Rattus norvegicus: one gene and its partner. The protein of the gene in region 1 purifies or fractionates together with the protein of each later gene. This does not show direct contact. Links are inferred from orthologs where the notes say so. Each region holds a gene or a part of one and is shown on either strand. Other genes may lie near its edges.

Evidence for each region. Proteins that work in one complex are often made in the same cells at the same time.
Region 2: the proteins of Wdr19 (region 1) and Ift43 purify together in Homo sapiens (affinity purification with mass spectrometry; 3 studies listed by BioGRID and IntAct, counting the BioPlex papers as one, with this or other methods). This does not show direct contact. The link is inferred for Rattus norvegicus from reciprocal best matches to the Homo sapiens genes WDR19 and IFT43.

What each region holds. Positions count from the first base shown.
Region 1 is NC_086032.1:43,449,937-43,453,548, forward strand, and holds part of Wdr19 (WD repeat-containing protein 19), read right to left. Parts: intron 2,997-3,612; coding exon 2,871-2,996; intron 1-2,870. UniProt on the Homo sapiens protein: As component of the IFT complex A (IFT-A), a complex required for retrograde ciliary transport and entry into cilia of G protein-coupled receptors (GPCRs), it is involved in cilia function and/or assembly.
Region 2 is NC_086024.1:111,459,282-111,463,557, reverse strand, and holds the start of Ift43 (intraflagellar transport protein 43 homolog), read right to left. Parts: upstream 2,808-4,276; 5' UTR 2,777-2,807; coding exon 2,723-2,776; exon of another isoform or gene 2,713-2,722; coding exon of another isoform or gene 2,698-2,712; intron 425-2,697; coding exon 332-424; intron 1-331. UniProt on the Homo sapiens protein: As a component of IFT complex A (IFT-A), a complex required for retrograde ciliary transport and entry into cilia of G protein-coupled receptors (GPCRs), it is involved in ciliogenesis.

The DNA of each region.
Region 1 (3,612 bases):
TGGGACCTCAAGAAACTGAAAAGCTTCTGTAAAACAAAGGACACTGTCAATAGGACAAAATGGCAGCCTATAGCATGGGAAAAGATCTTCACCAGCCCTACATCTGACAGAAGACTGATATCCAAAATATATAAAGAACTCAAGAAATTAGACCTCAAGACCCCCAAAAACCTAAATTAAAAATGGGGTATAGAGTTAAACATAGAATTCTCAACAGAGGACGCTCTAATGGCCAGGAATCACTTAAAGAAATGTTCAACATCCTTCATCATCAGGGAAATACAAATCATAACAACTTTTGAGAGTCATCTTAAACCCATCAAAATGGCTAAGATCAAAAACTCAAGTGACAGCACATGCTGGTGAGGATATGGAGCAAGGGGAACACTCCCCCATTGCTGGCTGGAGTGCAAACTTGTATAGCCATTTGAAAATCAAGTTGGTGGTTTCTCAGAAAATGAGGATAGTTCCACTTCAAGACTCAGTTATATCACTCCGGGCATATACCCAAAAGATGCTCCATCATACCACAAGGATACTTGCTCTACTATGTTCATAATAGCTTTATTCATAGTAGCCAGAAACTGGAAACAATCTAGATGTCCTTTACCCAAAGAATAGATAAGGAAAATGTGATACATTTACACAATGGATATTACTTAGCTATTAAAAACAGTGACATCATGAAATTTGCAGGCAAATGGATAGAACTAAAAAAGATCACCCTGAGTGAGATAAACCAGACCCAGAAGGACAAACATGGTATGTACTCACTTATAAGTGAACATTAGTCATAAAGCACAGGATAACCATGTTACAATCCACAGATCCAAAGAAGTGTAGTGAGGATGGAGAGAGAGAGAAAACTGGGGAAGGAACTGGAATCAGTGGGAGGCATCTCTGGGATGAACTAGAAACCTATGACAGTGGAAACTCCCAAAAATCTATGAAGTTGACCCTAGCTAAGACTCCTAGCAATGGAGATATGGAACCTTAAACAGCCCCTCCTGTAATTAGTAAGACTTCCAATGAGGGAGGGGACACCAACCCAACCATAAAAACCTTCGATTCACAATTTGTCCTGCCTACAAGATGGGGAGGAATAAAGAGGAGCAGAAATGAGGGAATGGCCAACCAATGACTGGTCCATCTTGAGACCCATGCCAAGAGAGAGAGAACACCCCACACCTGACGCTATTAATGATATTCTGCTATAACTGCAGACAGGAGCCTAGCATAACTGTCATCTGAAAGGCTTCACCCGGCAGGCAATAGAAACAGATGCAGAGACCCACGGCCAAACAGTAAGTGGAGCTCAAGGGACTTTGTGGAAGAGAGGGAGAAAAGATTGAAGGAGCCAGAGAGGACAAAGACACACACACAAAAAAATCTACAGAATCAACTAACCTAATCAAGTAACGGCTTGTAGGGCGTCACTGGGACTGAACCACCCACCAGAGTGCATGCATGGGATGGACATAGGCCCCCTGAACATATCAACAGATGTACAACTTTTTTTTTTTTTTTTTGGTTCTTTTTTTCGGAGCTGGGGACCGAACCCAGGGCCTTGTGCTTCCTACGTAAGCGCTCTACCACTGAGCTAAATCCCCAGCCCCCAGATGTACAACTTTATCTTCACGTGGAACCCCTAACAGAAGGAGCAGGAGCTGTTTGTGACTCTGCTGTCTACCTTTGGATCCCTTTCCTCTAACTGCTGCCTTGTTTAGCCTCAATAAAAGAAGATGCACTAGTCCTACTGCAATCTGATATGCCAAGGCAGTTTGATATCCATGGGAGGGCTCCCCTTCTCAGAGGAGAAAGGGAGGGGTGGGGTGGGAGAGGTGAGTGAGAGGGAGGGACTGGGAGGAGAGGGGGCAAAGCTGCAATTGGGATGTAAAGTAAATACATTAACTAACTAATAAAAAGAAGCTATTTCACAGTCATAACATCTTTATTCTTTTGTTTTTATTTTTTAAGACAGGGTTTCTCTATGTAGTCCTGTGTGTCCTCGCACTTGCTATGTAGACTAGGCTGGCTTCGAATTCATAGAGATCTGCCTGCTCCTGGGGGATCAAGGGTATGTGCCACCATGAGTGGCCAAATCATCTTTATTCTAATTAATGGGAGGATTACACACAACAACCATAAAAGAAATAGGGTTTTTCTTTCATAAGAAAATTAATACAGGTGTAGGTTTGTAATCCCAGCACTTAGGAGGCAGGGCCAAGAGGATTAGAGTTCAGTCATCCTTACCTACACAATGAACTCCAGGTCAGCTTGGGCTATGTAAGATCTTGTGTCAAAAAACCCACAACCAAAGCAAAGCAAGACAATAACAAGAACTCATGGCCAGGCATGGTGGCACACAAATGCCTTTAATCCCAGCTCTTAGGAGGCAGAGGCAGGCAGATCTCTGTGAGTTCTAAGCCAGCCTAGTTTATATAGTGAGTTCCAGGACAGCTAGGGCTACATCATGAGATCCTGTCTCAAAATGAAACAAAACACCAAAAAGACAACTTCAAAAAAAAAGGGGAGGAGGATTCATCATTGTGTCTCCAAAATCAGAACAGTAAACACTTTCAGCAGTAAAAGGACAGAGAGTCACATTTCTCAGTGCAAACTTCAAAAATAATTGGAAGACAGCAAACAGTAACATTGCTCAGTGATTTAAAAATAACTACAAAGTTGGGAATTGCTAATTACACTGATGTGACCAGTACACAATGCATGCATCTGTTAAAATACCATTATGTGTGTGTGTGTATCCATATATATACATCCCAATAAAAGTGCAATTACTGACATTAATAAAATGATACAAAATGACAGAAGCGCTAAGATCACCACTTAGTAAGCGAAGGTGTCCTCACCTCATGCCGTTGTCCAGCTGGCTGGTTTTATTTGTGTTGGCGTCCCATAGATAGATGCAGCTGGACTTCTCAGCAATCACCGCCAGGATGTCACCATCTTTGTCCCAATCCATGGCAACACAGTTGCTTTTAGGAAAGAGGATGCCATTACTATCCATGTCTCGGACGTCAGACGGAAGAAACAGACACCCAGCCATCTATGACTTCCTTCTCTGATGGATCATGATATAGAAGCATAAGCCAAATAAATCCTTTCCTCCCCAATAAATCCTGCTTTTGGTCATGGGGTTTTATCATAGCAGTAGAAGCTCTAGTTAGCCTAAGTTGGCAGCGAGATAGTGAGGTACTGTGTGACGGACAGAACTATGCTGCTTTGGGGAGGACTGTGGAAGGACTTTGGAACTTTGGTCTAGAAAAGCCACTGAGAGTTTAAAGCTTGGTGAGGTATTCTGTGGGCGTGCGGAAGGTAGAGATATAGGGGGTGGAGGCCCGGCTTCTGCAGTTCTGAGTGTCAAGAACTTTATTTGGGCCAATGCACATTCTGAGTGAAGCTCAGCTGAGGCTTGAGTCAGCTGTGGTTAACAAAACTCCAGAACCACCTTTGCTTTGCTGGGATAATCGATGCTGGTTCGCTGAAGCTGAGACATTAGCAGTGATTTAGAAGAGACCAGCATCACTGAAGTAAAATTTTCTGGAAGTGATTCCTCAGCACACAGAAGCTGTGTTCCAGAGGCGGCTAAGG
Region 2 (4,276 bases), on another chromosome or scaffold:
TAGAGGCAGGAGATTCAGTAATTCAAGGTCATCCTCAGCTACTCAGTGAGTTCCACACCAGTCACCTGAGACCCTGTCCTTAAAAAAAAAATTGGATACTATGAATATGAAAAAAAAAAAAAGTCCAGAAGCCAGTATAGCCTCAAAGGAAAGATGTTCCCAGTAGGAAAAATGTCCTCAAAGAGAACATCCAAGTCGAGACACATGCATGGAAAGACTGGCGTTCCAAACAAATATAGGATGCCACAGCCCTGCTCGCTAAGGGTTTGTTTATTCCTGAAGAGCATGCATGTATCCACGACTTCCTGTTTCACATCTCTGTAACACTCACCTCTCCGGTCTGAGTCAATGAAGAATTCTTGCTGTTGAGATAATTCTCAGCCTGAGTCGACTCCTGTTGAGCTCGGCGTCCCATCTTGGCCCCCTGAAAGGAGAGACGGAGAGTACAGCTGACCCAGTGTCACCTGAGGCCCTGTGGGTATGACATACAGTAAGCCAGGACTGGGCTTTTACGGGATAGCAGAGAACAGGATCTGAGTAACGTGTGTGTGTGTGTGTGTGTGTGTGTGTGTGTGTGTGTGTGTGTGTGTGTATGATATATGAATATATCAAGTGGAAATATTCATAGAGAATTCTCTAAACCTTTATGAGAAAGTACCCAAGTTAGATCTACTTGGTAGAATAGGAAACATACAGGTTATTGATCGTGAGATTTTCAACAGCCACAGTTACTGCAAAAACAAAGTCACTGTTCTGTCCTGTTCTGTCGATGACAAACAGAAATGCAGCTAGCCTGGGCAGTGACCTCAAGTCATATAGCCCAGAGCAGGTGGTAAAGGCTCCCACGTTCCTAGACTTGAGGCAGCTAACAGGCTTTAAGAGAGAGTTCCTCAATTCTATGGCAGCCTAGTAATCCAGACACCTCTTGCTCTGCTGGTTAGATCTGCATCTACAGGCATGGAGGGAGCTCTACCACAGGAATGCTGAGACAGCAGCCTTGGCAGCTATAAGTGAGCACCTCAGGATTCTGAGTCAACAGACGAAACATTTGCAGGTGTCCCCAGGCCCTCCAAGTGGGTCGGGCCTCTGTTGCCAACACTCCCCAGAACAAAAGGAAACTCTGAGGCACACTGATGGGTGCTGAAGAGTATCTGTGCAATCATTTAAAACAAAACAAAACCAGCACCAGCATAACATCTTCAGGTCTCATTGCCGGGGCTGTGCTCCAGTCTCAAGATGCTATGGACAAAGACTGAGACCGATGGAAGCCAGGACGGTGATTAAGTAATGTTCGAATTTAAATCCTATGTTCGTCCCACATCCCCAGAGCACCCCACTGAAAACCTGGTGCTAAGTGTTCTAAGAAGGGAGACTAGGGTTTCCGGAGAACCACATTAAACAGACAGAAATCACTAAAGTGGAATCTGGCCATCCAATTGCAACCATCAACTCTTCAAGTTACAAGGCCGATCTTTTGAAGTTTCAAGGGTGACGGGAATAATTTTTCTGATGATACAGTTCATATCTTTCTCTAGAAAGATACCCTCTTTTGTTTGTCCAAGTATCTGATTCTACAGTAGTTACCCTGAACAAAAATGATCCTGTCTGTAAACGTCCTTGACAAGCGATTTCTCTATCAGCCGTTAATGTTTGAGACTATTTGAAGACCCTGTAAAATTCACACATAGAAAACCTGAGGTCATGTATTTTAAGGGCAGACTTTTTATTGTCTTTTCCCCCTTATCCTTCTCCCCCTCAACTAGAGCAAAGGCCGGTGGTCTGTTCTCTGCTATCTATCTCTCCAGTGCCCAGAACAGCGCCTGATCCACAGCAGGGCTCACTACATATTTGTGGAAAGAATGAAATAGTCACTACATTCACATCCCAGGTACCAAAAAGGTTCGTGTATCAGAAAGACTTGGTGGCCTAATGCCCGTAGCTTTTTAAAAACCCTGCTCTATTAACTTCTGCCCCTTTATCTCCCTCCAATAGGTGCCTCTCTAGAACCTTGGAGGGCATAAGATGGTACCAAGGCCCTTCGGGGCACCTGAGATTTTACATCAGAAACTAAGGACTTGACAGGCGGCCCAATTCTTCAGTGGTTTCAACCAACTCTAAAGGCTATCCAGACCTGGTGGGCACCGAGACCTGGTGGGCACCGAGACCTGGTGGGGGAACTGTGACAGTAAGAAAACACTGAATGTGGGTCTTTAATCAAGTTCTGTTATTTGCTGGCTAAACGCCGGTCATAGGCTGGGAGGAAACAACAGGAAGGTCAACGAACTGCTGCAAATGCTTTCCATGAATCGCCCCATTTCATCTGCACAGCAACACTAGCATGGAAGTCGAGGCTAGGTGTATTCTGGTCCATCAACAGATCTGTCACCTAGTTACTCTCCCCATCCCCAACCCCCTACACATAATAAAATGGAGTATTGATTTCCAATCCTGGAGGGGGAGCAGAGATTAGAGAGCATGAGGAAAGGACATCTCCAGCCAGCTCTCTTCTCAGTCTCTTTCAGAACTTCCGGGACTAGACTGCCCTAGAGAAAACTCCAGGGCGGGAGCGGGCGTGGTCGGAGCGGGGTCAGACCCTCCGTTAAGGTGGAATTCGCACTCGGGCAATTGGGCCAGGGTCTGTCCCGACTCTGGGCTTCTCAGAGAGCCGGGCCACTTGTCCCACCCGCCAAACCGGACCCCAGCCCCCAGCATCGCTCCTCACGGAGGTGGCCGAGCTGCGACGTTTCTCCTCTCCCAGATCCAGTAAATCGTCCATCACCGCGGCCGCTGATGTCACTTCCTGGAAACAGCCGTCTCCGCCGCGTCCCTAACAACGACCCCGCCCTTCCATCCCAGTCCTTAAAGAGTCCGCCTCACAATTCCTAGGTCCTGTGTGTCACCTTCCAATTGAAACCAGATCTTTCCTACACTAACTTTGCTGGACTTCGGAGAAAACAAAACAAATCGCCAACTAGCAAGATCCTCTCTAAGGTTGCTGCAGAGAGGTTAGCCCTGGGGACTGCCTAGATTCGTAACTCTGATTAAACACGGTTGTGAGTGGAAGCACTGCTCTCAGTGATTATTCTGAGCCCTCACATTCACAATTGACAGAGGCCTTCAGAGTTACTGTTCAAGGATAGACGTGCGGTGTTATTTCCATTTGATGGATGAGCACCAATGTAATAAATAGTTTACACATTTACAATGACTTGCAAAAAATCAGTGTGTGTGATTTCTGCCTTCAAGAGGTTTATTGAAAGCAGTCATACATGGTGATGCACGCCTGTAATTCCAGAACTTGGGTGTTAGAGGCAAGAAAAATTAGTTCGATGTGACAGGGGCCATAATCCCAGCTTGTTACTTAGGAGGATGAAGCCAATGGACTACTTATGACTAGGAATGGGACTCCAGTCTTGGCAACACAGTGAGACTCCATTTCAATAGAAATAGAAAAGAGGGTATAATATTGGGGTTCTAACTTAATCTGAACAACCCCACAAAGTGGGTAGCAATGACTCATCTTACCAGCAAGACAGACAGACAGAGGAAAATGACTCCAGTCCCAAGTGCCGGGACAGCCTTTGTAACACCACATGTTACTGCAGTGACTTCCAGCACGTAGTGGTTCCCAGCCATCCTCCTAGGCCTGCAGGAGATAGCCCACAGACAGCCTAGGGGGTAGTCATGTTGAGTCTTCATTGATTCATTCTACATAAAATCCCTAAGTCAACATCTCCGGCCAGTTCTTGGCACTGCTCACTAGGACTCACAGAAAATGGAATGTGGATCTCCACAGTTCAAGAAGCACTGGGAGGGCTGCACCTAAAGCTTAATGACAAGCATTGCTGAAGTACCCAGCAAGTGACATTCAACTCAAGGTTTCAGTGCCCCTTTTACTGAGCAAGGCCAAGCATTTTCATGCCCAATGACGCCGGCCTGCGAGTTGGAAGAATTGATTTCTCAGCCCAGCCTTGCTTGACCTCAGTTTCCTTCTGAGATCCTTACTGGCTTCTCGGTGAGAATATTTTGTTAGATTTTAATCAGACAGAACAATCAGTGCCAAAAATCTAAGCCAGCTTCAATATAGGCACCAACTATTCCCTTGTTCCTTCTTCCTTGGCACCAACTGTGCAAGAAGGGATTAATGTTTGAATTTTTCAACTTCTTGTAAACTCCCGCCCACTTCTACCCGGACTCTGAGAAAACAAAGGGTGAATGGTACCACCCTGGGCATGGAGAAACCTCAGCAAGCAGGGGCTGGCAAATCTTACTTGAA